2 linked regions of the Drosophila melanogaster genome follow. The protein of the gene in region 2 interacts with the protein of the main gene of each other region in a pairwise test. Each region holds a gene or a part of one and is shown on either strand. Other genes may lie near its edges. The genes, in order: pirk and PGRP-LC.

The links.
Region 1: the proteins of PGRP-LC (region 2) and pirk interact in a two-hybrid assay, tested with the Drosophila melanogaster proteins (one study listed by BioGRID).

The regions. Positions count from the first base shown.
Region 1 is NT_033778.4:21,660,282-21,676,054, forward strand, and holds pirk (poor Imd response upon knock-in), read right to left. Parts: upstream 2,715-15,773; 5' UTR 2,407-2,714; intron 2,224-2,406; 5' UTR 1,637-2,223; coding exon 1,043-1,636; 3' UTR 686-1,042; downstream 1-685. Other genes in the region: CG42362 (uncharacterized protein), read left to right, coding at 4,233-4,691; CG42363 (uncharacterized protein), read left to right, coding at 4,911-5,375; CG42365 (uncharacterized protein), read left to right, coding at 6,591-7,217; PIG-M (phosphatidylinositol glycan anchor biosynthesis class M), read right to left, coding at 7,307-8,707; CG42380 (uncharacterized protein), read right to left, coding at 8,730-8,927; CG42379 (uncharacterized protein), read right to left, coding at 8,936-9,190; CG42381 (uncharacterized protein), read right to left, coding at 9,190-9,199, 9,256-9,412, 9,474-9,537; NC2alpha (negative cofactor 2alpha), read left to right, coding at 9,966-10,007, 10,215-11,198; CG15676 (uncharacterized protein), read left to right, coding at 11,448-11,996.
Region 2 is NT_037436.4:9,328,401-9,345,021, reverse strand, and holds the start of PGRP-LC (peptidoglycan recognition protein LC), read right to left. Parts: upstream 4,585-16,621; 5' UTR 4,433-4,584; intron 2,858-4,432; 5' UTR 2,695-2,857; coding exon 1,893-2,694; intron 823-1,892; exon of another isoform or gene 699-822; coding exon of another isoform or gene 410-698; intron 123-409; coding exon 1-122. Other genes in the region: PGRP-LA (peptidoglycan recognition protein LA), read right to left, coding at 7,153-7,296, 7,362-7,568, 7,801-8,036, 8,089-8,310, 10,095-10,392. UniProt on the Drosophila melanogaster protein: Major activator of the imd/Relish pathway and is likely to encode a pattern recognition molecule for the humoral immune response. Required for Relish processing and nuclear translocation following proteolytic cleavage.

The sequences.
Region 1 (15,773 bases), on a different chromosome or scaffold from region 2:
AATGAAAATATACCATTATATATAAATCTATTATTGTCTTATATAAATATGTATAATTTTGCCGTTCGAATAGTGTGCTTTAATTAGCGACCTTCAAATTGTTGTTGATAACAATTTTCTTAATTAATTAATCCCAATCAAAAGTAAGAAATTATCTCAATCTTAATTGCACTCTGTATCTTTTCGAGTTTCCCACAGATTAATGAGGTTGATTGCACCCTGAGTTTGCATCTCTCGAAATTCTTTCCGGCCATTCGAGTAAACAGTGAGTGTGAGTGCAAAGGTGGCACTCGTATTTCGGTAATGAATTGTTGCTTTGTATACCAATGCCAACTGTCAACTCGAAAAAAAAAATCCCCGGGAATTGATATTCGGCACCTATAGAAAAGCAAAATATATTTAATTAATCAGTACCTGTATCGGCTAGCGTCGGGTGCTTTTTCCGGTAACAATGAAAATGGGTCAGTGTCCATTGCATCAGCATCTCGATGGTGGTGATTAATTGGTGGTTCTTAGAAGTTGTCAATGGTACGACTTGACCGCAGATAGTCGCGTACGCATTATGCTGAGGAAAGCACTTATCTGTGTAGTTTACCAAGCTCCGAAGAAAACGCAAGTTACGTTGTCTTTGGGGGACTTTTTGTTCTTTTAGCAAGAAATGCAAAGAAAAACGCAGCAAACATATATATTTAGACATATAGTTGTATTTTTTAATCAGATTATTCATTCTCGGAATGAAGTTTAGGCTTTGTTCACACTGCGCTTCTGCGTTACGACTAAACATATACATACAATACATATATTTCCCTAATCAGTGGGTGTGTTTTGTGAATAGTAATGGATTTTTAGACTAGCGACGTGGCGTTTAATACTTGACATTGCTGAATGTGCAGGGTGATGTTAATATTGGTAGCAGTCGAAAGACACATTAAGACTAAGTGACTATTTTGCAGTCAATAGGAACCTTTGCGTTCGGTGGCAAGAGTTTCGTTACATTAATCCTTAATCTTTGGCCAAAGATGACTTAGAGAGCTCAAGATTCTCAGATGCTCACGTTGATGGCATTCTTGATCACAATGTTCCCGGCTCCGTGCCGTATCGTTAGATTGCTGTCGATCTCAATGCCGCCGGACTTGCCTTGGCCAGCATCCGTTGGCGTTGGCTTGGCGTTTTTCGATCGAGAGCTGGGCCTTTTCTTGGCATCGCCGCTAAGATCCAGGGACTTGACCACCTTGAGCAGTCCATTGCAGCCCGTGTAGTCGACCACCTGCTGCGTGGAGCTGCTGCCCAGGTAGATCCTTCCGTCGTTACCCGTGTACTTGAGGGCTCCGCTATTGTTCTGGATCTTGAGTCTGGTGCTATTGCCGATTACTTGCAGTTGCCCGGAGTTGTTCACAATCCGTATGCGGTTGCCATTGCCGATGATCCTGAGATCGCGCGTGTTGTTCTCAATGCGGTACTCCTTGCAGTTGCCCACCAGATCCTTGCTGGCGTAGATGGTTGTCTCCGGCGGCGTGGAACTTTTCTTGCTCTTATTGGGGGATTTACCCTGCTCGTGCTCTTTCTGGCAAGTGGAGCACTCGTCATCGTCATACGAATCGCTCGCCGAATCGGTTTCTATCACACGAACGCCCATTTTGGTGTGAATTACCGCCGGTATCGTTTCTTTCCGCTGCTAATCACTCGTAAAAATCACCGTCCAGTCTGTCGGTTAGCTCATTCTCCAACTCTTTTTCCTATCTCTATCTCCGTCTCTGTCGCTGGGGGAAGACTCCGAATGATGAGCAATCCGGATGGCTAAGGTCAAAGATATCCAATTGTGTGTGTTGTTTTTGTATTCAATTCAGCGCTGGGGGATCGTCTGCTTCCGCCAGGGGAACTCCCTCTGTTTTCTGAACTTTTATTGTGCGTTGAGTTTGGCGATCTCTGGTATCGCTTTCGCCGTGCTTACTGCTCGCTCGCTCGCTGGCACTTTGGCTATTGAACGCTAATGCCGCTCGGGAACCGCTTTTATATCCGCCGGAGAGTCTAGCGCCGGGGCTTTTTTATTTCGCCCGAGGGCCGGCACGAAAATCACCTCGTATGCATGAGAGTCGCGAACTTAAAGGCATCTCGCCATCTGGGGAGACCTTTGATTGGGTCGCCGAATTTATTCGGCATGAGTAATGTCCACCTGTTGGTGCCCTCGCAATGGGCTCGTCCATCGACTTGAGCTAGCCAAATCTTCAGCATATAGTAATAAAGTTTAAATATATATTTAGTTAACAGCACCAGTAAATTCAAACATTATTACTGTATCTTATCGTTTTATAGTTTCTCCTAAAATGATGTGCTTATAGTCTTATCCCTAATAGTAATGGGTGTTATTCGGGTCTTGACCCATCAAAGTGGAATTTATTTACTTACGCATTGTAACTTTTCGCTGTGTAGACTGTTATCAACTTATGCAGTACAGACCCAACTTTGATGGGGATTTTTGTTAACTTCTCTTATCATTAATAAGTCCACTGATATAGTTGCTGATTTCCATTTTTGGGAGTCGTAAACGCGGAGTCAAAAACCCACCAACCCCAACCTAAAGGGGTAATAACCGACGATAACCGATGATAAAGTTTTAAGCACTAGAAATTGATAAATATTTACGCAGTTGCCAAGTGAGATCTGTGAAACGGAGGCAATGATTTCCTCTAGATGCTTCACGAGCCTGTTTGTTTACAAACAAAAAAATCTCACCCGTAATTTGCACAATCGACTTCATTGGCATTCGATTTAATTTACATATGTTTACTTATATATATATCCCGAAAGCTTCCGATTCTCGATCTTGTCATTTTCTGCGATCGTTCCAAGCTGAGTTGCCAGTTCAAGTGACCAGCTCAGTCGGTTGGGAAGCCTGGAGCTGAGCAAAGCCCGGCCAAGTCAAGCATACATATGTATCTAGATCGCCAGCTGAATAAACACGCTAGCATCTAAACAGTTGGCCCAATAATGTTTACTCGTGCGGGGAAAGCACCGCAGCTATGGGGCTACAAATGAAAGGGGTGTATTGCCGAGAAGGTCGTTTTTTATTATTTTCAAGGTGCATTCACTGTTGACAAATCAATTATCTATTGCGGAAAATTATAAAATGATTTATTTGCCAGATCGCTGTTTTGGGCCAGTAAACGGGGACTTTTTTTGCAGCTATCTCAAGTGTGCTCGCCAAGCAAAAGCAAAAGTTCAAGAAAAGCTATAATCGTATGAAGCCTTGTTCGGTGTGAAGGCGTTATAACGGCAAATCGTGTGTATTATCAGATATGACACGGCGCAGTTACAGCGCACACAAATGGAGAAATTGTGCGAGCCCAGGAAAAAACCCCCTCGATCACAACCCATAACCCATCAAAACTGTTACCACCTGCAGCCACTATCTAGCACGCGTCTAATACCGGTACTAAAGCCCCACCGACCAAAAAATCACCGATGCCAGATGTTTTATCTTTCATTAAGATCGAGGCGTTGCTTTGTTGTGTTTCATGTTCTGGATCGAAATAAGTGAACGTTATGTACTTGTTCTGACAGATACTTTAATACTTTTGATGGGGTGTTAAAAGCATTAATATTGCATATGTGTCAGATAACAAGATAATGCATTTATTATTAATGTCAAATATTTTAAATAGCCAATGCAGTTAAAAATCTAAATTATTTTTTATTTAAATTGTTTATAAAATGTATAAATTTAGAAATGTATAATCAGCTAATTGATTAAATTAGTATTGTAATGGTAGGTCCACTCCAAAATGAAATCGTTGCCATTCACACCGATTTTTAAACAAACAACGTTTATAAACAAAATCATGTCATCTCTAATAGTTCGTAAAGTAAATATATAAAATAGCAAATAGGTAAATGTGAAAATTTGTGATCTATTTAACATCTAAAATTTGAAGTCAAATTTTTAGGGACATAGAAACAGAGTCAAGCGACATTATATTAATTAATGTAGTCGTTATTTAAAAGAAATTAAATGAAGTAGATATATTTAGATTTTAAGTACACTCTTAAGAACCACCCTAACATATGTTACTAACCATTCACAGTTTGTTATAAACAAAAAGAACCCATCTCTATTGACGTGAGCTTTTATTGGTGCTTATTTCATAAGTAAGCAAATAAAAAGCGCTCCCATAACGAAATCATACTTTAGTGTACAACACCAACGCCAATCGGTAGTAGGAATATAAACAATTATGAATAACAACTCGAATGTTTTGACTATTGGCACTGAGAGCACTGGAGATTTCGAAAGCACAAAAACACGCAATGAGTATTCTGTGTCTGATTTTGAGAAGCACTTACAGAAAATTTTACTGAATGGCGGCAAGCCTTTGACAAATGTTTGTGATGAAGGATCCGTCGAAAGATTTGCGGCGAAAGAAATCAAGAAGAACGGATACTACTACGAGTTCGGTCCGGCTGATAAGATAAATGGCTGGATGATAAGCGGACCCACTTTTGACTCCAAGGGTATTCTGGGACGATTAAAGAATGTGATTGGCAAGGAGCACTGGATATCCAAAAACGTTGCTAAGTATCCGAAGGATTCGAGGAACTTCATAATCAAAACTGTTTCCAACGCTTTGGATCAAGAAAGATCAGATATTTACTCATATTTGTGTTATCTAAATGAAAACACTAAGAGGAGGTGAAGAGGAGGTGGTTTGTTTGCCATTCACCGTTGTTCCCATTGTTTATAAACAAAATCAACCCATCACTAATTTAGAGCTTTGAGGAAACTTGTACCCGAAATGATTTCATTAGTAAATAAATAAAACAACACAAACGGGCATTATTAATACTAAAGCAGGTGAGCTGAAAGAGTTTCATGCTAGGATATTCCACTTACGAAGTATCTTTTAGATTCAAAAATGACGTCAACAACAAACGTTTTAAGTATTGGAAATGAAACCGAGGAACTATATTACAAGGTACAGAAAACAAGCAACCCTAAGGCATATTTTGAGTTCGAGTTTGAGAACCACATGCGAAAATTACTGCTCAATGGCGAAAAACCCAAGGATCTGGATGAAAAGTCCATCGGAAGATTTGCAGCCACTGAGATAACGAGAAATGGCAAGCAGTACTATGAGTTCGTTCCTGACGGATACAAAATTGGAGTCATCATCAGTGGATGCTCATTTCTGCCCAAAGACATGGTCTTCCGCGTGAAAAAGAAGATTGCCAAAGAACACTGGGTTAACGAAAATGTAATTCAATATAAAAAGAATTCAATGCGCCACATACAGGGTATCGTATCCGAATGCTTGCAGGAAGAGTGCAATGATATCTACCAATATCTATGTTATCTGAGACAAAATGATCCCAACAAGTAAAATAAACATGTAATATATAACTTATAGATTTAAAGTTTCATATAACATATTGTAATTAGCTTTAAGTGAGGTCGAATAACTATCTGCCATTTGAAGAAAATAACTGACTCAATTTCACCATAATTTCAAAATATTTGTTATTTTTTACCAGATACATATAAAAAATAAAGGTGACTAATGCTAAGCTTGTCATATTTCAACAATCCAACTATCAATTCATTTGAGTTTCAGTAACCGCATAGATTTTGAGAAAGAAAGTTCGAATTTTTTGTAAAATACTAATAGAGTGTACTAATACTAATAGAAAAGGAAGTTCAAGAAAAAAGTTCGAGTACTTCTAAAACTTGTCAAACACGTGTGCCTAATATTTCCGGAAAAGTGGAGTCAAGCCAAAGCGTTTCCTGTCTTGAAAATAAAATTCTATCGGTTTCTGATCTACCAGTAAAAAGCCCAAAATCATTTCCTATTATAATGGGTAGAATACTATTGAGATCTAATTGTCCGCCGGAACCCGTAATAAAAGTGAATCTAACCGACTTTGAGCAGAATCTGTGCTTCTTGTGCATGGAGAAACCATCGTTGGGAAAGCGAGTGTATCACATGTTCGTCACAAATGAAATGGATATTGAAAAGGACTATCTGAAAGTGCGAAAAACCTACGAGAAAAGAAAGGACATCGTAGTCGTGGACCAGCTAACACTGTACACCCTTTGTGCACGATCCTTGTACCACAGAGTTCAGAATAAGTTAACAGATGTTAAGTGGAATAAGCAGCGAAATGTTTTTGAGATGAAAAAGATTGGACTAAAGGACAATTTGAACCTTTGGAACAAGTTGTATGCGCTGGAAAACGCAGAGAGGGCAAAGCTATTTAACTATACTAAGTTCCTAAGCGCAACGAATGAATAAATTGATATTTGTTTTCATATCCCTTTTACTTTAAATGGTATTATTCGATTTAAAAATTTGTGACCTGCATCAGCAGGTCCACCCTAATCAATAAACATATGGTTGCCATTCTCTGGAACACTTTCATTATCAAGCTCACCACTAATATTGTGCTTTGCTTGTGAACTTTTATGTTGTGAAATAGCTGAGTATTTCGAATCTTTACAAAACAATCCATCTATTTAACTAGTGGCCTCTGACCAACACAACTCAGTATTAGCATAAACATTAAAAGGGACACATTACAAAATTCTAAAAATTATAACCATGGAATCTGAAGCTCAAGAACGTACTGCACCTGTATCTGCAAACAAAAGTGATTCATCAGCGGCACCTGTGCTCAATATATCCGGAAGGGTCAAGTCAGAATGGAATACACCCCGTATTAGGGGCAAAAAGAAGCCGCCGGCTGTCTTGGAAGCACCCAAAGTGAATCCGCACACATTTCCAGCGATATTAAGCAGGATTCTACTGAAGACCAATGCTCCGCCTGCAGCTCCACCGAAGTTTAATCCAGCCGACGGCACACAGTACCTTTGCTTCCTGTGCCTCGAGAAGCCGGAGAGTCGAAAGCGCGTCTATCACATGTTCATCACGACTGAAAAGGAGCTGGGAAGCGACTACGCGCACACCAGGAAGTTGTACGAGAATCGCAAGGAATTCATATACACCAATAATATATCCGTGGAAACAGTCTGTGCACGAGCACTGTACCGTCGGGTTCAAAAGAAGTTCACAGATGTACAGTGGAACAAGCTGGGCAACGTTTTCGAGACTGACATGGTCGGACGCAGTGATGTCTGGGGTATATCTAATCGAGTTTACGCTTTGCGTATCGAGGAGCACGAAAGACTATTTAATTACATTAAGTTTCTGAGCTCAACGAAGTGCTAACTAACTACATTCGATTTTAAGTGCCAGTACGAATTGTGATATCTTGTGTTTATTTTTTATATTAAATCTCTGCTTTGCGGATTGTTTGATTACAGTAACTTTCTGTAGCTTATCTTAAATTGTGTGAACCCGTAATGACTCAACAGCTGCTCCAAAATGTATCCGTTGGTGGCGAAGAATACGGCTCCTTGCAGTCCAATCCAGTAGAAGGTGTTCCATGTGTGGAACTCCAGCAAATAGGCCGGCAGCAACCACAGCGCCTGGGCAAGCAGCCAGAGGAACAGGAGACCGAAGCACCTTCTCCACGACAGCATCTTGAAGTTGTTCAAACAGAGCGGCAGAATGGCCAAGTACCAAATGAAGTACTGAGAGGTTACCACCGAGTTATAGGTGACGATGACAAAGGCCACGGCAAAGATGCAGAATGGCAGCGTCTGGCGGAACTGACCGAAGCTCAAGCTTAAGTAGAGGATGAGCAGGAACTGCGGAGCCAGCACTAGAGTCTTCAGGATCGCAGAAGGTTCCGCCACACTCGACGCACTGCCCAGGTACTGTAGAAGGAACTGCAGCGAGAAGTTGTGTCGCGGGTCCTTGCGTACGAAGTGGTACAGGTACGCTTCATATATATATTCCCAACCGTACATTGTGTAGAAGGTCCAAGTGAAGGCCACTAGGCTGATCAATGTTCCACTTATCAGGCACAGTTGTTGCTTGTTGGGCCGCAGGATTTGGCACAGGAAGTCGAGGGGAGTTTGTGTCAGCCGCGTTGATAGCGATAAATAGTATGCCAAACTGAATAGCAACGGATACAGACGGAGGTGTATCACTAGACCGTGAGCCAAGCCCGCTCCGAATATAAGCCAGTAACTCCTGGTGACATTGTGCTCAGATTTTAACAGCAGGTATATAGTTAGTATCACGAAGAAGCTTGAGAAGCAATCGCCGCTTCCACGTGTGGATATTACAGCCGTCAGCGGGTTGTATAACCAAAAGCAAGCAGAGGCGCGGGCCAAGTTCTCTGGATGACTTCGCTCATCCAGGGCATCCAGCGATTGGTCCGAGTCCCGTGGCCTGTTGAACTTGCTAAGCAGGTGTTGTACGGTCTTCTGGTACTGACTCTTGATTTCCATGTGCACCAGACGGTAAATAAGTGTGGCGATGAGAAGATCGAATGTCGCATACAGTAGTTTACCCCACGCCGGATGAAGCAGGATGTTAAAAGTCTGCAGATATGCCATGATTGGGCTATATCGGTAAGTATGCCTGGCGAAGGGTGTGTCCCCAGCCAGAACTTGACGGGCTCCATCAGTCACCACCTTGTAGTCTATATCGGTGTAGGGCACGGCGGACTGACTGTCGTGTAATTGTCCGTAGCAAATTAAAGCTATTCGCAGCAGGGCGGATATTAGTAGATGGGTCCGAAAGCTAGTGTAAAGGATGCGGCGACCCAGTCGCTGCCATCCAGTGGTCGCAGCCTTTGTTTGAGTCATCGTGTTTATTGTTTACGTTTGTCTAAAGCTTGGTCTTCATTTCCAAAGCGGTCTTGCGGATACAGCTTAGGAACTCCTTGAACTCGGTGTCGCAGATTTTGTGCTGCACGTTTAGATCACGCGACACGCAAACCGCATACGCAGTGGCTTTGTCCGCGCACTTGCTTAGCAGAACTGGATAGTTGCGGATTCTTTGGTTGGCTTTGCGCACCGATTCCATGCCTTAGCTTAGCGCTTGTGAGGCGGAACTTTGTTCTCCGGCGGTGGTAGGGGATCGGCGATAAAGCAGTCAAACAGGGGCTTGGAGAAGAAGATCAGAAGTGAGCCTGTGATGAAGGAGATCTGGAACAGGCGTGGATTTCGCTGAATCCACGTGCGTTTGGGTAGCACAGCGGTTCGCCTGCGCTGATTTGCTTGCTGTTGCTCCTTTTGGTCCAGCAAGTCTTGAATTTCCTTCGGAGGCCTATACTGCGGTATGGACATTATTTGTTCCTGCAAAACGAGTTGATAATAGTGTATATGGAATAGAGAAGTTGGCTACAACTCACGACTTGCCGGTTGCGTTCTTTTCCTTGGATGCGTCTGGTAGATAAGTCTTCTCCAAATCGATTCCACTGCAGCAAAGCGATTCCTTGTGCCACTTTAAACAGCACTGGCGCATTGCCTCAAGGACATCCAAGCACTTGTCCTCCTGGTAGTGATTCTCTGTAACCGAGTGCAAGTCAGCTTACATAACCATGAAAATGGAGTCACCGGCGGTGCTTACTGGTCAGACAGGCTTGTATGCGGCAGGCGTTCGGTTTGCAGGGATCCTTGCGAGTGTCAGACATGTAATCCTGCCCAGAATTCTTACGATATTAAATCGCTCTTGCAATATGTGAAAAGTACTTGGAAGTGTTCTGCACTCTTCTTCTTCTTGGCGGTTGTAGTCATTCACAGTGCACGATCAAGGTAGCCAGACTGCGCGACGGTCAGCTGTGTAGGAAACCTAATACATCAAAGCAAAATAAAAAACAATCACATAAATAACAACAAAAAGAAATAACATCTCTTATAATGTACAAAAATTTTTAATCTTTCAAATTTTGATATTAATACCTTTTGCTTCCCTGTGAATACCCCGCCTGCTGCGAGAGCAACTGCCATTCACCCATCGACGCCGACAGTTGGGCACCAAGGAACTGTTCTTGTGTGAAAAACACACACACATTTGTTTTATTTCACTAGGACTCTTGACGATTACTTCACAAATCGGAAAATGCCATCGAAAAAGAAAAAATACAACGCACGCTTTCCGGCGGTAAGTTGAAACCACCGATTGGCGACAGGAAAGCTCCAGCCATTTGGCGGCCGTGAACGCCGAAGATGGGTTATCAGTTTTCGTGCATGTGTACATACATATGTACATACACGCCTCGCATAATCAGAGGCTCAAAAGAAGTAGAGGAGAAACCAAACCGGTGCGAGATTATAATGTTTCCAAACCATTACCATAAACTCCTTGCAGGGTCGCATCAAGAAGATCATGCAAAGCGACGAGGAAATCGGGAAGGTGGCCCAGGCGGTGCCTGTTATCATCTCACGCACGCTGGAGCTCTTCGTGGAGTCGCTGCTGACCAAGACGCTGCGCATCACGAATGCGCGCAACGCCAAGACGCTATCGCCATCGCACATGAGGCAGTGTATCGTATCCGAGAAACGCTTTGACTTCCTCAAGGAGCTGGTCCGCAACATACCCGACATCAGTGTGGCCGAGGAGGCCGCCTACAACGAGGACGATGTGTTACGCAGCTCGCCAGAGGAACAGTATCCAGATTCAGACACGCCATATGATCTTAGCCTGCCATCGACGTCAATGCGCTCGCAGGCGAACGGCACAGCTGCCTACATGCGCTCCATGAGTCTGAACAACGGAGCCGGATCGGGCGGAGGAGCCGCAGCCACCAAGCGGCAGTTTCAGTCGCAGCACTCCACCCAGGAAACTCCCACCACCAGCACCACCCTGCCCGCCAAGCTGGCCCGCTCCGGGTCCATGCCGGCCTACACGCCACGGGGCAGACCGCCCAATCACCTCAAGAAACAGTCGGTGCAGCTCGATACTGCCATACCCGCCCCGATCTGCAACTACGAACTCAACAAGCCCATTGTCAAGATCGACTACAGCCACGTGCAAATGCCGACGGCGAACCTGTGCACACCGGACGCCTCTGATTCTGGGTCAGGATCGGGCGCCGGATCTGGAGCTTTTAACTTCGACATAGCTGCTCCGGTGATCAATATCGATCTGACGAATATCGTGGCCGGTGGAGCACCTGGCAGTGGTGTGCCCCCCGCCTCTATTGGATTACCAGCGGCCACGCCGGGGGACAACAATAATGTGAACCAAATGGCTGGAAAGAGCAGCGCTCCCATCATTCCAAAGGCCACAGCGGCATCAGCGACCCCCACTGAAACCGTTTTCGAATTAGACGAAGACTATGACAATATTTGATTAGGATCTATGTGAATGCGCTTTTAAATTATTGATACATTAATATGTACTCTAGGTCTAAGAAATCACAATAACATTTTTTGCAAAATAAAGACCATGCTGGATTTTAAGCTGACGCAATGCGGAGTACTTTAAATAGAGAAAGAAAATTTATACATTCTAGCAGATAATGCTGTTTAATTTGCATACGATATTAAATCAGTTTATCTTTGAATTAGATGTACTAAACAAGTTCAACAATTATTGAAAATGTTTGCATTCATAGACACCATAAAAAAGCCGCCTCTGGGCGGCCGAAAGTCATTTATGCCCATCCCAGAGGCCAAGTTAGTTGACGATGTCGTCAGCTACATCGCCAAGCCAGAGTTCTATTCGACTGTTCCAGCGGCATTGAAGATGCAACGCCTTTTCTATGTGCAATACAGCGAACTGGCTGCCAAGTTGGAGACTGACCTCACAGCAGTGTTAACCCGTTTGGAGGCTGCCAAAAATAATTTGGAATTGGTGAGGAGGTTCATAGACAATCCTGACAAGGAAGTTCACAGCCTCGTGCAAATCGCACAGGGAGTATTCAGATGGGTGAGCATACCGCCAGTGCAAAAGGTTACCCTTCAAGTGGGCGCATCTCTGCAAATGGAATTCGAGCTGTCCGAGGCGGAGGAGTTCATCAAAAAGGACATCACCAGCCTGGTGAAGCAGCAATTGCAACATGAGCACGATATCGACTATCTGCAGGATCAGGTGAACACGATTGAGATGAACCTAGCCGTATTGTATAAACATGAAGTGGAGAACTAGAAGCATCCCACCATCCTTAAAATTGCTAGTACCTTGTAGTTGCTTATAAAGACATTCGTTCTAAATAAGTCTTTATTGTCTAAATGCCTTAATTTCCAACGAAGTACAGCTCTCCCTTGGAGTTCCCCACTAATTCATTCATTACAATTACATTATTAGCAGCCCGGTAAAGAGGTCAGAGTATCGGGACCGTAGGATCCCAGACTGTGCCCTACAAAATGTGACCTTTATTACCGAGCTCGGCTATTTACAAGCCTATACACATCATAATAATTATGACTTAATTTCGCCAGGGAGCACCGCTTAGTCATTGTGTAATCCTCGGTCACAGCCAATTACAATTGAATGCCTTTCAATCCCATGCCCATGCCTTCGTCCAGCTGTTACTCCAGCCCTCCGCATATTCGCACACGCAATCTGCCAGCCACAATTGATATTAATTTGTGCCCGATGTGGGTCAACCCATGATGTAGACTCCATTCCCTTCCAAGGATACCAAATTATATGGCAAAAGGACAAAACTGACCAGCAGATGAGCCACATATCGCGTGGGAAAATCTTATTGCAAGCGAATAAAATTACCCAACCGCTCCCAGTGAGCAAAGGTGCAGTTTTGAATTATATGAATTTTCATCCATGGGCTTGGCACACTAGATTAGGGTCAGCACTATTCCCGAATTTTGATTAGCCAAGCCCAAAGTCGAGATTAGATTGCTGCGCTCTCTCAACCAGATCAAGTGAATCCGCCAAAGAGTTTGGGCTCGGCTAATCGAAGCCCCTTCAATTGGGGGAATCAGATCTGCATCTGCACACCTGCACTCGTGGACTCCACGCTGTCCACCTGTCTTGAGTCATGGCGCAAAAAAAAAAGAGGTTAGAAACAATAAAAACAACTTGCGGCGCGCCGCCAGTGCCAAGTTTTCATGTCCAAGGCGTATTTATGTCAACCGGAAGTAGGTTTACTGACCCACGTATACCCGTGTGGCTGGCCAAACGTGGACTTCGGCTTTCTTCGGTGGTTTCTTCACCTAAACCCGACTGGTCAGTTGCCGTGGAGCTCCACGGCGCAGGACGATGTATAAGAAGGTATTTGCCCACGGCGGATTAGTTTTTCTACGAACGGCGAGTGCAGTGCATCGGATCGATGCAAATGCGCGTTGAATTTTTTGGGTATTCAGTTTTTTATTTGAAAATCTCTCACCTTTTTTTTTATGACAATAACTCTACAAGTAACGGTGCATTAAAAATTAAAACCAAACTGCCTAAAATCGGATAGAAATCGTCGGATATATCGCAAACATTAAAAACTTCCAACTCGGTTGTGTAGTGAAAAAGCCCAAAACAATTAACTCGTAGATGTCTCTAGGAATTCCCCGACTTGTGACTCCGTGTGACTCCACTGGGGGTTCGAGTTGGACCCCACAAGGGGCGGGTTTTTGGGGGCTAACACGACATTAGCCAAGGATTTCTCCGGCACTGCCACTTAAAAGTCCCCCCGTTCCGAGGGATTCGTGGCTTTGGTTTGGGTGGTCTGTGTTTGCACACATACCTGTCTTTAGGCGTTATTGCTGCCACTGCCGTTGTTGTCTTGATGTTGCAACAGTGCCCGGCTGGCCAAGGAGTTCGTAGCTGCGGGCCAAGTGTTGTTGACTCCTAGCCGCTGCACAAGGCAACGCGGAATTTGTTGCGGTTTTGACCCTATTCCAAAGCCAAGGAAAGTGCAGTGTACTCGCCGAGGGTCTTATACTCACTCAGTCGAGTGCAGGAAAAGCGTCCTTCTGCCGAAGCCTTTTGCAATATTTATGGGCAGAGACACCTTTCACACAGTGATTAAGTGATCCTAATTTTTGGGCGACGCATAACTATTTTTTGACATTCTAGCGGATAAAATATTCAAACACTTAAAATAAGGATATATTTACTTTCAATACTAAATCAATAGGCGTATTTTAAACTGATTTTTTTGAACACAGTAAAGGAAAGTTTTTATTAATACCTATCATTACGTTCAATCAGAGCTCTTATGTGCAATCTCCAACTCCATAAAACTGCATTAAAGTGAAATGAGCGAAAGTGTTCATTGAAATACATGCGTGCATTCAATAGATACAAGTGGCATTAAAGTTATGAGGCATCCCGAAAAGTATGAAAAATTAGCTGACTGAGCTTCTCGGTGGCAGGCAGTGCGGCGTAGAAGTACAAAAGTGTTGGAACATCGCGTGCCACAGACATACCAACAGGTGTCACAGCCAGCCGGGGGAAACTGGGGGAAGCAATCAAAAGTTGTCTAAGAGGCAGAAAGAGCTGAGAAAGAAGCACACGCCGCACAGATGAACACAACGACATGCAAACGGCTAATGCAGCCGCCTCGCTAGGCGGCGAAATGCGGAAAACTCGCGGAAAAGTCGCGGCGAATTGGCGCCCCCGGTCGCCTTTTCTTTTCGGCTTTTCAGTTCGCCAGTCTCGATATCTCAGCGGGTCTGCGTGTGCAAACTGTTGGGGCACCGAGTGTGTGTGTGTGTGGGGGGGGGGGGCATTGTGTGCTGTTTTGGATTTGAAGTGTAGGCAATATTTCTCTTGAAGGCCTCCATTTTGCTCACTTACCGCTGGTCGGCCATCAGTTTAAGTTAGGCAGCGGCCACGTTTCGTCGCGTTTCCATTATTTGTTGCGGCTTTTCAGCAAATACATTCTATTTCCGAATTAGACTAAACTTAAAACCCAAATGTAAATTATATAATGCGCTCCAGGACCAAACTAACACAGTCAGTGTGGACGTGGCAGGTATTAAAATTCGTTATTCAAGTGTGACCGAGCGTTAATGAGATGCAAGAAAACTGCGTGTAATGCGGCAAGCGATTAAAAAACCAATTCGCAAATAGGAAGCTTAAGCCGCCTGGGAGCCGGCCAACTCCCCCAAAACGCGTCATGGCCAAAACAAAACGAAAGGAACGAAAAGGAGCCGGCCAAGTCACTTCCTTTTGGCCCAAAGTGTGTCACCGAAATTCGAGCGGCGGGCCATAAAATGTAGGTTAAATATTAGGCAGAGGAAAATCAATGCGAACAAAGGCCATTCATTCACACCTTTCCTCCACCTTCCCCCCCAAAACCTTCATGGGCTACGTCATTTCGCTAAAATATCTGCGTACCCAGCCGCACAGCTCCAATTAAACCATCGCCTTCTTCTGGTGATAGGATAGTCTCAGCCCGCTGGCTTCCACATCTGCCGGGTCGTTCGACTTCAAGTGCAGTCACTAATGCGGCAATTTGCAACATGCAACGCCGGTGCAGCCAGCCAAGCCGAAGCCATCCGCCCAAAAGCAAATCCCCATCCCCATTCCCCCCATTCAAGCCTTTGAGGCCTCCTCATCAAGTTATGCTCTCGTTAGCGCCAAGACAAGCGTTTGGGAGTTGGGAGTCCGACTCGGATTCGCATATAGCAGCAGGTGCATGGCATACCATAACGATTCCGATTTCAAATCGGTTTGGTTTCGGGGCGGCTTTATCAGCGCCTCGCACGCAGCTATTTATAGTTGAATGTGGAGTGAAATGGCATTAGAAAATAAAGCCGTGCAGTAATAATTACTCTACTATTTTTGCCACAACCAGTGATGGAAGCGGACGTATCCGGGCAGTTGTACCTAATTACTTTTTTTTAATTGCTGATGAATTTAAATTACTTTACTCAAGCTATTAAAAATTTAGGATATTTGAAAAAAGTTACTTGGTATGAAGACAGAAATTACTTTTATTATTATTTTTAAAAATTCGCCCAGGTA
Region 2 (16,621 bases):
GATACCCAGCAGGAAGGTTAAAGTTACAAAAACCACTGTAACTGTGACGGCCTTGCGTCCGACAGTGTTGGGCAGAAAAGGACAAATTGGTGGGGTTTGCGCCGGATCTTCGTGTTTGGAGCCTGAAAAGTGTGGGTAAGTGAAAGCTGTTTAAAAAATGTTAAGGAAAACTTAAATAATGAATAAGGCAAAGATTTCTAACGGCTTAATAATAAATTCTATTGTTTATGAAAGATAAAAGACTTAATTTTATTTGGAAACAGTGGAACCACCTTTGTTAAAGTTTAATATATTCGTTAATTTAAAGAAAGAAATTTTGATTTACGAAGGATTATATAAATTATTCAGTTTTCTATTTAGCCTATAAAATCAAAGATTAGCTTGCTATATATTCAGTATTTCTTCTTACGCTTCACTAGCCCCTGTTCTAGGATTTCCAATCGTTTTTCATGTTCCCGCAGTGACTTTTCCAACCACTTGCTCATTTGTGCTCCAATTTGCACCCCATTCAGACAGTTGTCACATTTCCACCTTAAATTGGGCACCATTTCCAGCAATTTCAACTGATCCTCGGACAATTCCGTGCATTTGCGATGACAGGACCGACCACAATAAACATTATCACACTCGATACGCCTGTCATTATCTACGATTATCCCGTGACACTTTAGGCAAATTTCAAGCGTGTTCCTCGACATTCTCCGATCGCTTTATATGAACAACTGAAACCGATCGTTGGGTACTTTTCCCGATCCGCGCACATAGTATGCAGGAACTGTTCTTGTTTTTCACTTTTTCATTTAGCAAGTATTTAAGCCGCACGCAAAAAACCCCCCCGCTTTATATGAGTATTTATTGCGTGATCCAGGGGAAGCACCTGCCTTTATAAAAACAACACTTAACTACAGCTGACTAAATTTACACTCGAACCCCTGGTTCAATTCCAATTGGAGACTTTCGCCAACCAGAACGGCGATTTAATTATGGTAATTGTGAAAATCAATCAAGTAAACAATTGCAGTTGCTATGGTTTTTTTTTGTGCGTAATTATCGCAAGTTTTCACCGATTTGATTTACGAGCTGCGGGGCCTTGAATCGGCAGAGATACATTTTCTTTTCGTGAATGAAATTTTACTTGTTTTTTTTTTGTGCTGAGATTGTAATCGGAAAACAGGGAGATAAAAAACGAGTTCTATAAGTAATAAAAAATGTATTAATATTAAAAAATCCCCCGACACTATTGGCGTTAAAACTTTTTCTCTCATGAATTTTATTTTATGTGAGACAAATTTTGGGTTCGTGATTTTCATAAATATTTTTTAATTTTCAAGCTAAAATATTTTCTATACGTAATAAAATTATTTGGCATTTTAACAAAATTTTCCATAATGAGTTTTGTTGCCTTGCGCAATTAAATGCATTTAATATGTTTTTATAGTAACATGTAGTATTTGTTCTAGGCGCATACAATGAATCTGTCTGCTTTGTGGGCCATCTGCTAATCTACCATTCGCAGCACGGTCGTTAGACCTGGCCAATTGGGTTGAGTAAACAAATAGTCACACGCGCTCAGTTTTGGCCCATTAAAGCAAACAGAACCGCGGCAAGGTGAAGACAGAAATGAAACGCAAACAAAGGCAGCAGGAAATAGCAAAATAATATATATATGTTTTAAGGATATATATCCCAGAAAATATATATTTTAGAATAGAAAACTAAAAAGTTGAAATTATCGAACTAACGATCCTCAAGAATAACTATGCAGAAAGATGCGAAAGCAATCGAAAGTTACAACTTTTAAGATTCCATTCTTAGTATAGTGTACAAAAACTAAACGATATCAGATTTAGATTTTAAAATACAATCTATTAAATTAGCTTAGAATGTCTTACCCGGCGCACTTCCATTCGTGCTGGGACCACCATTGAATGCGGGGTTATCCTGTCCACCAGCTGGTCCCTCGCCCGGTTTCCACTTGTCCCGATTATCGATGAGAAACTGTTGTATCGTCACGGGTCCCTCGTAGAAATGCTTATCACCGAACGTCACATCTGTGGAGTTGGTCAGGGCGATGCTGCCAATACCCTGCGTGGCACCGCCCGCCGGCGATGTGGGCGTGGCCACGGCCAGATTACCGTTCAGTATTTGCTTGGCCACAATGCCAGCTTCCAGGGGATTGGGTGGTGGTACTGCCGCCTCACCTGGCGCCACATGGCGACTGATCACCGTTAGACCCTGGTTAAGGTCGCGCAGGTGTGAACTGTTGGGCGGGTAGGTGACCTGGTGACCCAGCTTCTGGACCGTATAATCCTCCGCTTCGGCCTCCGAATCACTATCAATACTACTCGAGTCGATGGCATTATCATCGATGGACACAACGGAAATTGTGGTACTCCGTATGGAAACCGCCGGCGAAGATGTCTTTCCAACATTTTCCGTTGTTATATTGACAGTGTGCTCAACGCTGATACGCTTGGATTCCGTTTTCTCTTCCGATTTCGATTGGAACTGCCCTTCGCCCGTCCCCCGATCTTTGGTCTCCTTCTCCGGCCGGAATGCCGCCACATTATCGTTTAGTATAACGCCCGAGTCTGTGGACGAAGTACTGCAGTTTTTTGGTCCAGTCAACGGATCGTTTACTCTACGTTTCGCATTGGAACATTGGCTCATTTCCGTTTCATTGCTAAAAGGCATGTCGAACTATCGTGACAGTCACGTAACCAGATTGATATTTTCTCTGGATCTCTGAGCGTTATGTGTTAGCCTTCCTATTTAGCAGATTGGGCGGTACATTATTTTTCGTATGGCAAAACGGCTGACTAGGCACAGCTCTCGGCAAACATCACATCATGAGCATCTGCAAATAAGTATACGTTTTTTTTTTTGTTGGTCCCGGTTAACTTGATGATAATAAGCTAGTCAAACGTTGTCAAATTTCGAAGAAATTTTTTGTTTGAATTGGGCTAAAGTGGGCTTAACTTTGGGGAGGCACTTTGGCTTTATGGTGCACTGATTTTTTTATTTTTGATAAAACCACATAATTCCCTTGTGTGCAAGTGTTTTTAGAACATTGATAAATATATGTATATATTTTAACAATGTATTGCTGATATTATATTATGCGATAAGCTAAGTGATATTTATTTGATAGCTTTGAGCATTATTAAACGGTTTGGATAACACACACAATTTAGAAAAATATTTCGTCAGTTCTTTAATACTTTTCAATTACACATGCTTTATAAAAGTGATTTTATTGTTATCACAATCCATTAGATCGTTCAGTTGCAATATGATTTATAAGTACAATCAACGCTTTTAGTTCATGTATACACGATTGTTGATAAGCTCGATTGCCAACAGAGTTTTTAAAACGCGAATAAAAAACGTTGCTGCTGTTGTATGGCAGTGAAGTTTGTATAATTAAGATATAAGGGTATTGAATAGTGCTGGAATATATGTGTATGTATACAGTTGACTTATATTGTATACTCGTCAAATTCGATTCAAATAGTTGGTCAGTAAGCTCGCACGAATGCAAGGCTTATGCAAATTAGCTATAATCATTGACGTAGTCTATTTACTTAAGTGGATTCCGAGAAACACAAAAGTAGTAGTTGTTACCCATACATATGCATGTTATGCTTAATTTTGGATATTCGAAAGCCACGAGTGACGTCTTCAAAAGGCTGAAAGATCATTATGGGCATATGCCGTGACGTCTTGATGATACGTAGATACGAAGGTTTCCGAAGAGGTGTGCCAATTTCAAAACAGTAACTCTATTTTAAAGAATTCCGCGAATTGTGATAAACTCGATAGAATTGAAAGGGTGCCTTGGAGGGTAGCGACTTTATACTTTAGAATCGATGTTCTAGAGAGTTGGCACAGAGCACGCTTTTGAGATAACACCAAATGGAATACACCGAATAACGACAACGGCTACAAATGAGAAACGGAATGGCATTTTGAGTTTACCGAGCGCACCAATACACGTGCACGGGAGCGGCGGCCATTGTCACTAATACACGCACAGATCATCACAATATGGGTGCTCTTTGTTTTGGTTGTATTCTGTTTGGAGAATCGATAATAATTAACAACTCTGATGTTTTACGTGTTTTCAAAATTATCATTAAATATGGCCTATGTGCAAATTAATTGATTTTCGATCGATGTTTCGATAGCATGTTTTCTTTTTCACTTCCACGAATTTCTTTCACTTCCTTTCGTGTTTCGAAAGGCTAATTAACATTCCTGGAACATAAAACGATTGGAGAAACAAACTAGTTTGCACTTAAATATCGATATAATTGCTCAATTATTTGTCACTAGTCATATAATAGGATTATGATTATTTTGCGGTGTGTAATATTCTATATAATCACTCTATATTCTATTCTATATTAACACTTTGCATATCGTTACGCACTTTAAATTGCCGACGAAAACCGTTGCAGCTCGTTTGATATTTGAGCGTCTATACTATATAGCCAATTTGTAAGTCGAACTTTTTATACCGTTTCGCGCCAATTTCGAATCGTTGAGCAGCGGCGCGTTCGAGTGACTCTGATCAACTGAGCGGCGATCAAATCGCAGCGGCCTGAAAAGCTGGAGCGTCTGATATGGCAGCGTGTGGGGAGCGTGTGTGAGGGAGAGCAGATCGCTGAGAAAAAAAAAACAAAGAGAATGATGGGGAGAGAGCGGTCGGCGTTTTTGCGTTTATTTAACCAAAGTTGTTTAATTTGAGTCCGATTTTCAGGCAGTCCAACTTGTTACCGATTTGCATTTTAATAAGTGATTTCTCAAAAGATCTTAAGAGTGCAACTCAAAAGCCTTGTTCCAAAAAACTTCTAAATCGTTTTAGAAAATATAATTTTTTAACATATAGTGTTTACATATTACATAATATGAACGCGTTCTGTTGTATTTTCTATCCTTTTTGTAATCTAGCGTTAACCAATAAAATGCAATGATTTAAATTTTCCTTAAAAAAAACTGTACATTTTAATAACTTATGATAGCGGTACAACTTTTTCTCAATCGAAACTGGTTTAAACGAAAAGCGAGTGATCCCAAGAAACCGAAAGAATTCCGATAACTGCATCTGGCGAGCTGCATATTTCGGTTTTTCCGAGCGTCATTAAGTCGCGGAACCTGTTCTCGATTTCGGGTTTTTTTTTATAAATCTTCCAGATATTAGTCAAATTTATAACGATACCTCCAGCTACGCCCCGTGGCTCGAGAATGGTCTCTCCAACTTCTCCCACCTGACGATGACTGTTTGTTTTTGTTTAGTTGTTTAGTCGTCCGCACCGACATCGACACAGACAAATCGGCGTATACGTATTATATATGTACATATGTATGTATATAAATATATATATTTTTTATTTATTCAACCAATAAACAACACAAATCTCCGGCTCTCTCCCGTCTACCAAAACACTTACAGACATTGCAGTGTGGGCAAAAATGTGAACATTTTAAATTGCGCTACCATTTCCGAGAATTGTTTTGTTTTGCGGCCCGCAATCGGTTTTTGGCTATTTCACTTTGTGGTACAGGCCAGTTATATATATATATATGTATACATATGTACATGTGTACATAGCTCTTTTTTTTCTCTTCCAATTCCAGCTTGACCCATTGTACTTGTGTTGAAAAATATTTAATGTAATTATAGGCGAACGGCGGTTCGGCGATCTCTGATAGTCTGAAAAGGGCGCCGGGAAACTGTTGATGGATAAAACGTAAAGAGCAACAAATTGGCGAAACGAATTCCGAACACGCTTACAGAAAAGAAAAATAAAAATATAATTATAAGTGGAAAGCGCAACGAGCTTTAATCGAAATAGTTGTAGACTATTTATAATATTTTTTCTCTCAGTGTTCCTGACTTACTGATAAGCTTGTTGAGTGGCCTTTAAAATGTATTATTTTATTGCAGTTAAAGTTCTACACCGAAACATCTAATGATTTATGCCTTTTGTAGCCAGGCAATCTATTCTTTGTTGACCCATTATTTTATTGCGAAAAATGCCAGTAATTATTGTAAATCATTTCCAATGAAGCAGATAATAATTTCTTTACAACGGTTGCGAAATCAATCACCATAGCTATTTTAATATACCTACCTCCACATATTTTCTTACCTTAATTATTATTAATTATTTTTACTTTTTTGGTTCCCTCTTCGCATATGTGTTTTTTTCTTCTTCTTTTTGGTTTTTACACGTGCCGTACTCTCGTCATTGTTTTGGCCAAAAATTCGTTCCGCGTTGTAGGTATAATTTTTTTTTTAAGGCGCCGTGAGATTAATTAGTCAATGAATGTATGTACGTCACTCTTTTGGGCAGGTTGGACTTTAGGTCATTGATGAAAAGAGGGTTAAAAGGCACACCCACTAGTTTATTAGCTTTCCATGTCGTCATAGTTTCAGCTCATCATTTGATGCGCAAGTTAAAAACATAAACATTTCGAAGGAGTTTCTTTTTTTTTTTACCAATATAAATCATCGAACGTACTTCTCTGTTGAGGGCTTTGAACTGAAGGTCGGTGATGATAGCAGATCTTATTGGCAAATATCCATTTCATTTTTAATATATTTCTCTGCTATTACCAGTCTTCCTGTAAATAGGATTGTAATGACTCCATATGATAACAAAAATAAAACATCATTATTATCATTGTACATATATTCACGTTGAAAGGCAGATAAATGACAAAGGCAGCCACAGCGATCACAACATCGTCTATATAAGTGAAGTGAAGTGAAGCTACCGATAATGATGTTGTACTGGCGCACAAAGGCTCTCATATATTTACACACACACACAGACACACACAAGATCGATGAGTGTTAAAGTCTATGAGGGAATAAAAGGGGTACTGGTATTGGCACTGATAGAGGTTGACTGCGGCTTGGGAATTTCCAGCTTTTTGAGCGACAGTAAAACTAAACAGAGCTCCAGAGAGGAAGAGAGACACTATATATATATATATTACTATAAATAAACCGCTTGCTCCCAACCGGTTTACTTTGGTTTCGAAGCCAGCATAACCGATTAAAAGAAAGCTCCATTCGCCTTAGTATATGTATTAAAATACAGTTTGTGCTTGGTTACACTTAGGTGGTAGAAAAGTCTGTAGCTATTGCTTGGCGTCCCACGATTCCGTTTTCATGCCCAATTCGATGCCGCAGGCCGGTGCTTCGTCCATTCCGCAGCCGTAGAAATGCGGCCAGTTCCGGATTTCTTGATACACATATGCACCCGGGCTTCTGGTCACCTTAGTCTGGAAAATATTCAATTAAATTATTATGTCACCAGATATGCCAGATATATAGTAAGTAATTATACCTGATTTTGCGCCACTAGTTTGTAGTCCACATCAATATTTCGATTGGCCACTGCATGGGCCAGCAGAAATTGGACACCTTCCAGCTGTTTGGGACCGGGCTTAAACCGGCCATAGTCGCCCATAAAGGTAATGGCCAATGTCTGGTTCGCATACGTGTTGGCCCAGTCCCAGCCGCGGCCAACGTAGATGTTACCCTCCTCCGAAACCTGGTCGAAACAAATTCGGAAATTTGACAATTTGCGTAAGCGGAAAGCGAAATGCCCAAAATGGCACGTGAACGTGATGGGAACACAAATGCACGCGCCGGGATTTCTTTTCCCTACTACACTCGAAGAAATTTTGATTTTTAAGGCTTAAAAAGTATTATACAAGGCTTATTTTAGGAACTATGTTTCCCATTGAGGCGCGTAAAAGAGTGCAGAACAAGAACAGGCTTACATAAAAATTGGATTGGATATCCGGCAGACCCTTCTCAGCAATGGCTGAATCCTGAATGGTGCGCATCTTGATGGAGCACTTGTAGATGTTATCGCAGGGCAGAGACTGCACTCCAATGTGGGTGATTAGGACGTAGGGAATGGGTCGCTTCAGGGGAATGGTCAGACCATGAGAGTTCTTCGACGCTCCCCACTGCTCTCTGTCGACGACGAGATGGCCGTTTCCTAGATTCGGAACTGTAGAATTGGTGAATTGGCTATATGGATTATACAAGTGCCATCCACTTACACGTTTGGTGGTCGTAGTTGTTGCCAAAATAGATGGCTTTATTACTGGGCAACTCGGGCTTGGGTCGATTGAGTTCCACGTAGAGCACAATCAATCCGGTGGCCAGGACCAACAGGATCAGCGTGATCAGCAGGATGGTGTTCCGAGTGACCCGCCTAGATGGCGACTTATCACGACTTCGATTGGCGTTGCCATTACCATTGGCATTGTTGCTGTTGATTCCTTAATTAGCGAAAGTCAATCAATTAGCATATGATTCACAAAAGCCAAGAAATTGTATCGTTTCAATGGATATATTGACTTAAAATGTTTTTGAAACATTTTACGGTTTTGCATATCAAAAGCATTTATATTTCTATAACAACAAACAAGTCGGAAACTTAAAATCATAATCTAGAAAATTTAAATAATTTTAAAACGTTTTTAAGCTCAATTATCTTTCAGGCCTCTAAATATTTTTTTCGGTGTCGGAAAACACGGATCTAGTTAAGCCTGTGAAAGCGCTGAGTAAATCTAATTTATTAGTAGATATTAGATTTTATGTATGTACTTGATGAATCCCGGGAGTGGGCTAAACTGGGTTCGGGTGTACGTCTTCTGCGCGCCGTGCGTTCCGAGTGAACTTTTAGTAACAGTTTCATGGCACTTCGATCCACTAAGCTTATCACACCTCTTCGTTATTGGACACAAAACACGGCATTATAAGCCTATATATCTATTATGAGTAATTGACCACTGAGTCATCGGTAACAAATATCATAGCAAATACTGGGAACAGCGGTGGTCTGCAAATTGATTGTTTTATAATGTGGTACAATGGGTTTGACCGATAATCGGACGGCGGAGTGCCACTGGTACCGCCACCGCACCTGAACCCGTCGCACAAACAACTGAAATGCGGCGCAGCTGTCGATGGAACAGAAAGAGAAACAACAGCCATACAAATTGCAAAAGCGCTGGAAGTCAGCCATCTCGCTCTACCCTTGCGTTGACATGTTTTGTGTTTGCTTGCGTGAAGAAAGGCCAGGGGTTGAGTTGACGAGGGGGGGGGGGGTGGAAGTGGTTGGAAGTGGGGTTTTGAGGGGGCGGCAAGGGTGCGTCATGATGATATCGCCGGCCTTTTGTTGCTGTTTTGGCATATCACATTTTTTACACACTCACGCTTTGCACTCTTACTTCTCGTATTTCTCTCTCCCTTTCGCTCTTCCGTACTACGTGACGTATGCGCAATATGCGCCGTGCATCGCAAGTGGCTAAAGTTTGATCCACAAACTAGCTCTCACCACCACCGAGTGCAACTGAGCGTTGAGTGCTCTCTTGTTGCTCGAGATCCCGACTTTTTATGTGTACGTTTATTCCGGGAATCCCGCCCCACGCTATTTGCATTTCAATTACATTGGTTTTTCACTCATTTGCTCTGTTCTTTTCGCTAAATTATTGAACCCATAGCCAAAGAATAGTGATCGATCGAGTTGTGGAACTAATTATCCATAATGAATTATACATATTTAATTTTTCTTTTCATTTAAGCTGACTAATTGCAAGTGCTAACATTTTGAACAAGATCTTCAGAACATGCAATTGTCGTATAGTTGAATTTGTCAAGTGAAATCGTAATAAAACACTTTATTAGTAATTAGTTTGATTCGTGATCTGAATCAAAACTTGCTGATATACCCAAATCGAAATTAACCACGATCTGGCAACTGAACATAATAAATTTAAAACAACCGGTTTCGAAAATAAATATATTATGTTAAAATAATTTAAATTTACCAAAAAAAAATACCTTTTTATTTGGGTAAAGTTCAGCACCCTGCACTATTTAGCTTAATATTTAAAAACATTGGGAAAAAAGTGAATAGTATTTGCAAAAAAAATATAATTATTCTCGTATATTATTGTTATATTGTTATACAGTAGAAATATGTTAATTTTATTAATTAATTGTTGCTTTAATTTTCCCGTTTACAACTATAATTTTCCATTCAGGATCGGGGACTCACCTGCAGCCGTTTGCATGGCGTGTGCCTCCATATAATCCATATAGTATATGGATACCGGTCCCTGGTATTGGGTCATGGGACCGATTACCACGTCGGTGGAGTGGTTGAGATTTATAACGCTGGACGGCTGGATAGCTGGATTTGTGAAGATATTCTGCGGTAACGGAAGGCCGGAGGATGAGGTCGATGAGCCGGCGGACGTGAGATTGTGCAACCTTTGGGCGGGACTCGCTCTTTGACGACCCTGAAGTGTCCACAGCGAATTATCGGTTGTGGGGCTATTGTTTTCCTCGAACATTGCCGATTCGTTTTGGATTGCTGAAAACATCATATGTTATGTGTCGTTATATTACGGGTTTTTCATAAAATTAGTTATTTATAAAGCCACTTATCTCCTGGTTTTTATTTGTTTTAAGAATGTATCAACGTAATTGCAGATAATAACTTTTATTTGCTCCTTAAAAGGCCATATGAAAAGGGCAAAAACCTTACCTTGTTTATGTTTTAAAAAGGGTTGCTTGAATATGACGATCTCAGATGATCAAATCTCAGAAAATCCGTGACTCTTTCCGGAGTACGTAGCTGGCGCGCCAGTCGAACGACAACTGCTCAAAGTTGCATTTCAGCCGGTGGGGATGAAACTGAAAAGTAAACAAAATATCGAATCCTCTCTCTTGGCTCGCTAACTCGGCACTATAGTGATTGCGATTCCATTAGCACTCACTCTCCGGTTTTTTTTATATTGTCATGGCATGAAAATCATTTCAGCTGGGAAATTTTTAAAGTTTATCTTGCATTTTTTACAATTTAATTGCAGGCCTATGACTGGCAGTCATTTGCATAAAGTGTCTGAATTTAGTGGAATAGTACTCAAAGCTAATCTGGAAAATAAATTAAATTATTAATAGTTATGTTCTAATGGGAAAATTTGAGCAATATAAAGCATTTATTTTATATTTTAAACTGAACTCCAAGTGTCGCCCTCTTGGGGATGTTAGCATAAGTAAGAGCCCTCAAAGCTTTTTTCAAGTTCAATGACTAGCCGAACAGGTGGCGTCTTAATTACGCATACGCACCGTTGAACCTCAATATATTCGAATATAAAAAAAACATTCAATGTTAAAATGTTTTAATAAATATAATCTAAAAGTGGAAATATGTTTTAAATTAGTTTGGCTTGCTGTACAAAACGTTTAATTTTCGTGCAATTTTTTTAAATACGTGTTCTTTTTAAGCCACTTTTTCTTTGTAATCCTTATCAAGCGCATCAATTTAATGTGCTCAACGCTCAACCAACAGCCACACGAGATGTCAGCCACTCGCTGCACGCTGTGCAAGCTTCACTTTCGCCACACGACGGCAACTGCAGCACTTGACTTTGCCATGGCTCTTGGTCCATGTGAACCGCCACGGCCCCTCATCACGATCCATCTCACCCATCCACCAGACTATGTCAACTTGGTCTTTTTGGCTTTCGGGCGGCAAGCGGTTTCATGCCTCACGGTAATACACTGAGAGAATTTGGCATAGAATTAGCTTACCTTAAAATGTGATCTATATTTATAATTTATTTAATTATTATAAACCATTTGTTTTCTATACCCTTCGCAACCCATTGACATCTAGGAATCTAAGACTTTTTGGGATTTTATCTTATGAATGCTATATTAATTCAAATTTCCGGTCAGGGTGGGGGGGATTTTCTCGCTGTGGCTTGGAGCCCGGTGCCTGGCTATTAACACGCTGCATGGCACGCAGCAAAAACAAAGCGCATACTTTGACGTCTGCCCTCCTAATGACGACCACGAGAATAACGACGACATGGCAGCGGTAGCAGCTTCCCAAGGGGCCACGACTTTATTCATGTTCAGTTGGCATTAGTCGACACCCCTCGCACCCCTTTGCCATACACCCTATTCCCCCAGCTTGCCCCCATTTTATTTTTTTTCGAGCTAGTCCCCAACTTTTGTTTTATTTTACTTTCTTTTATTCACCCAGCTGTCTGCGCGGGTGTGTGAGTCTAGCAGCCATTGTGCCACCAAACGCAGTAAATGGTTAAGGGTGGAGTGAAGTGAAGTGGGCTGGGTTTGGGGTAAAGCGGCAAACCGGGCGCAAAGACGCAGGTGAAAACCCCAAAGTGCCCTAGGACAGTGCGAAGTGCTGAGTCAAGTGTCAACTGCAAATGACATTTGCATTTCGCTGGCAGGGATCAAGGGGCTGATGACGGGGGGAGGGAGGCTCTGGAACCGCTCCGGTGGCTAGTGGCTGGTGGCTGGTGGTCGGTGGCAACGCGTCAACTACGACTGACATTTGTTTTAGTTTTTCTTCCGCTTTGCGCAAGCCATTTGGCAGTTCGCTGTGTTTCCTGGCCAACAAGAGCAATGGGCAGCGGCGCCCTGAAATATGCAACGAAAAGCGCAGCACAAAAAATGGCTCTGTGGAAATTTAAACTGTCATGGGTGCGCTAATACGTTTGGAGGCCCTTGCCACAGCTTCATCAGAGCCGATTCTGCAAACTTAAGAAAGATACGAGTTAAAGATTTCAGATACATTTATCAAATATCTTATCATCATATCATTGTTTTCCCTTAATTGTAGAATCCCCAACATGGCTGATCTTAATGCTGAACTGATTGGCTTTCGGTTTATGAACACTCAACAATCCAATTGATTAGTATGCGTCCGGAATCCATCAGCATCAGTAATATAATCGACCCAGACAGTATGCAAATTAGATATAGCCAAGGCAATGCACCGCATCTGCGGTAGCTGGCCATGTTAAATTGTGGTTATAAACTACATTAGAGTGCCATATAGTATCTATGTGCATCCATCTCGGCTTGAGTAGATGTGCATAAGTAGAATGCGATGCGTTTCATGCTTGAAATTGCTAACAATTTATCTGGCTTCCAAAAAAGCTGAGTTCAATCTCTTTATATCATTCGACAAATAGAAAATCGGATGACTTAGCAGTTTTGTAAAGAAAAGATGTAATGTATCGTACATCAAATTCAATATGCTGTATATAGGACTTAGAAAACATATTTCATATAATATGCCCTTAAACTGATTCTTCTTAGAAAATGCTTCCACAAAAAGCCCCTTTAAACATTTAAAACTGATATCGAAAAGTACATTCAGGTTTTGTTCGAGTGTGTTATGGCAAATGAAGTCACTCCACTTAACTGGCATTCCCCAAAATAAGTACAACAAATGGCGTTTCGAAACTATTTTTGACTTTTTGGCAACCGCCGGCAGCGGCAATCGCTCGATATTTCTGCCCTTTGTGTTTATCGTGGAACGTTGAATGTGGAGTATTGGAGTATATGCGTTTTCGATCTCCTATGGCTGTCAGAGTAAAAACAAACAGAATCAGACATCTCAACCAGAAAACCCAACCCATTCAAAAACACCCCACCATCCATCCGGAAAAATAAGAGAAAAAATTGAAAATCCCCATCACTCCCACACAATAAAATCGAAACTTTTGCATTGTACATGTAAATTGCCATTGCCTATCCCAATGATGCTCCCTGTTGTGGCCATTGTTGGATTTGCTGGGCGTTATGCAAAAGCAAAAAACTTTTCGCGCAGCGCATAAAATTTTATTTGTTGCTACTTTTGGGCTTGCGCTTGATTTGGCAGCTCTCACACTCGTGCACATGTGTGTATTGTATAATGTATGGGCCATCCTCCTCACTGATATTTGGCATATTTTGCGCACATCAATATCTCGCGTGCTAGTTGGCATCCATTCCAATACCAAGTGCACTTCGAAAAAAATAAATGCTGTCAATCATCTTGTCAAACATCTAATTCTTTTTACATAATATAAAATATAACTATATAACTATTAAGTTACATACTATTTGTTGCCTTGTATTATTACATTCTATTTTCTTAGAATTATGTATAGTATATACTTATACTATGTACTATACTATATATACATATTAATATATTAGTAGTTCTTAAGTATCTTAGTTCTGATATGAATAACGTTTTTTCTTTTATGCCACAGTTTTTTTTTTGCTTGTGCAGTACCAACATAGATACCCATTCCCATATCCCAATACCACCCCCTCTGATCCCAAGTTACCATAGACCCGCGGGCGTATTGGCTGCGCGTTTTGTGGTGCACCATTGAGCTCAAGCGCGCGAGTTGGTGGGTGGCAGTCGGTCTGAAATGGGTGGTCTGAAGTGGGTCGGAGTGGGTTGGGTGCTCAGTGGGTTGCATGTGTGTCAGAAACGTGCAGAAACGGAACCCAGTTGCAATATGAAGTGTGCGTCTGTGTGCCTATTTCATTCTTCTGCTATCTGAGTTTTGGTTTGCGGCATTTAAGCAAATGTTTTCCAAATGCACTGCGTGTCGAAGTCTAAATTTCTCCCGCAGCTTTTCTCACAATTATCGCAAGTACTTGCAGACTTTGGTGCGTGACTTTGGTTAGCTTGCGTCGTATTTTGTCTAATGATTTTGTATGATTTTTGAGCTGTTTAAAGGACGCCACATACGTACGTATATGCAGAAATAAATTCTAGTATTTAAATGTTATTTTTTTAACAGCGACAAGCACTTGCATTAACATGGGAACACATTGTGTGTTCAAGTGGAGCGGAAAGTGTAACAGAAATGTTAATGCAATGAAAAATCCTAACACTCTGTTCCCATGTTATGTTATACCTTTGGATCTACATGTAGGGGGTTGTTTATGGTTGCGCTGTTCTGATTTTAGCATCCACAAAGGGGTTTTTATGGTCACATAACAGTAATGTAAAGTTTGTCTGTAAACATAAGGATTGGATCCACATTATATGGCCATCCTTAAAATGTTAAATCTTAACATACATAATAAGGGGTGGTTTATAGCATTCTGGAACTATGTTAGACTGCAGAAATCCTATTTTAATGGAAGATAAAATATAACTATTTATGAAATTAATATGATTATACAGAAATGGTGTATTAATTAATCTGAATTCCGATAAAGGTACATTTTACCTTATGAAGGAACTACTAATTTGTTTTAAACGAATCGGCATTCCAATTTCATTTTCATTCAAAGCTAAGCTTAATAAATTTGGTACTATGCCTAATTGGGTTGCGGCAACACTGTTTACGATTTGACCGATTTCATCAGGATCCTGTGTCCTTTTGTCGCAATCCAAGCAACTGGGACACTGAGGCGCCTTTCTCCGCTTACTGGCCACGTGCAATTTAATGTATGCTTCTGGTCAATTTCACTGAAATGTAGTTCAAGTCTGCAGTAAGGGGCGGAGGGCGGGGCGATTGCCATTTCGATAATTAAATGTATGCACATGTGTGCGAGAGTGCAGGCTCACTCACACAAACGCACACAGTGAATGGTTGTATGCACCATTAGTGGTAAAATGTTGTGCATTTTTACAGTGTGAGTGTGGCTGGAATTATGCAAATTGAACCGCAGAAACGCTTTTAAAATGTTTTAAGTGCATTTGCATGAATATTTCGGCGGTGCGCACACACTCGCACACACATACAAAGTAGCTGGAAAATAAAAAGCGAGTGCACTGCAGTTGCTGCAATGTGTGTCAACCAATTTTAGTCAAATTGAAATTTGTAAGCGCAGCGACCTTCTCGACTCAACTCGCCGCCACTCGTGACCCCTGACCCCGGCCGAGAATCGGAGTGAAAGCATTTTCCGCTTCTCCACTGGCCTTCTGCGTCTTCTTCTTGGCCAGCATGCTTCTCATTTGGCTGATGAACATCCGGAATTTTTTTGTGCATATTGAAAATGAAAACCACAACAAGACCAGAGCAAAAACATATTATGCACGAGGAAAAATATTTCAATTATACATTGTTGCATTCTACTGAAATCAAAAATTAATATGAAATTAAAGGAAACATTTTAATTATACATCAATATTTAAGAACCACAAATTGTATCCTTAAAATATTGTATATAAACATATTTGTTTGAAATTTTAAAATGCTATAGTATAGAGTTAAATTTTTGTGGGATTAAATGTTTATTAAATATTTCCATTTCCTATTACAATGACTATTTCTCATAACAATGACATTTTTCCTCGCTGTAAAGGACAAGTAATCATAGAAATAAATACGTACCATGTCCGCGGAAGCGTCCTGCCAAAAAGTGAACGCCGGACGGATGATCCGTCCCCGTTTCTGGTGTCGTATTCTCCGGCAGGACCAACTAATTGAAGTGCACTGAATCGGAACCGTTTGCCAATCTCTGTGATAAGCCATGCAGAATCGTGCTGCGAGGCGTAAATTAAAAATATAAGAAGCGGCCGACAGGAAAGCCGAAAAAGAAGAATACCAAAATGAGATACGATGCCAAATGCGCTCGAGTTGATTAAATTCGGTATCAATCACAAGTTTATGGCCTCAAGAGTCGGCAAAGATTTTGATGGATTTTTTTTCGGAGGCGATATTTAAGCCCGTCGGCGAAATTCGCGCTTAGGAAGAAAGCACTGAAAGCACTGAGTCCGAAGAGGAAATCGCCGCCATCGCCGCTTGATTG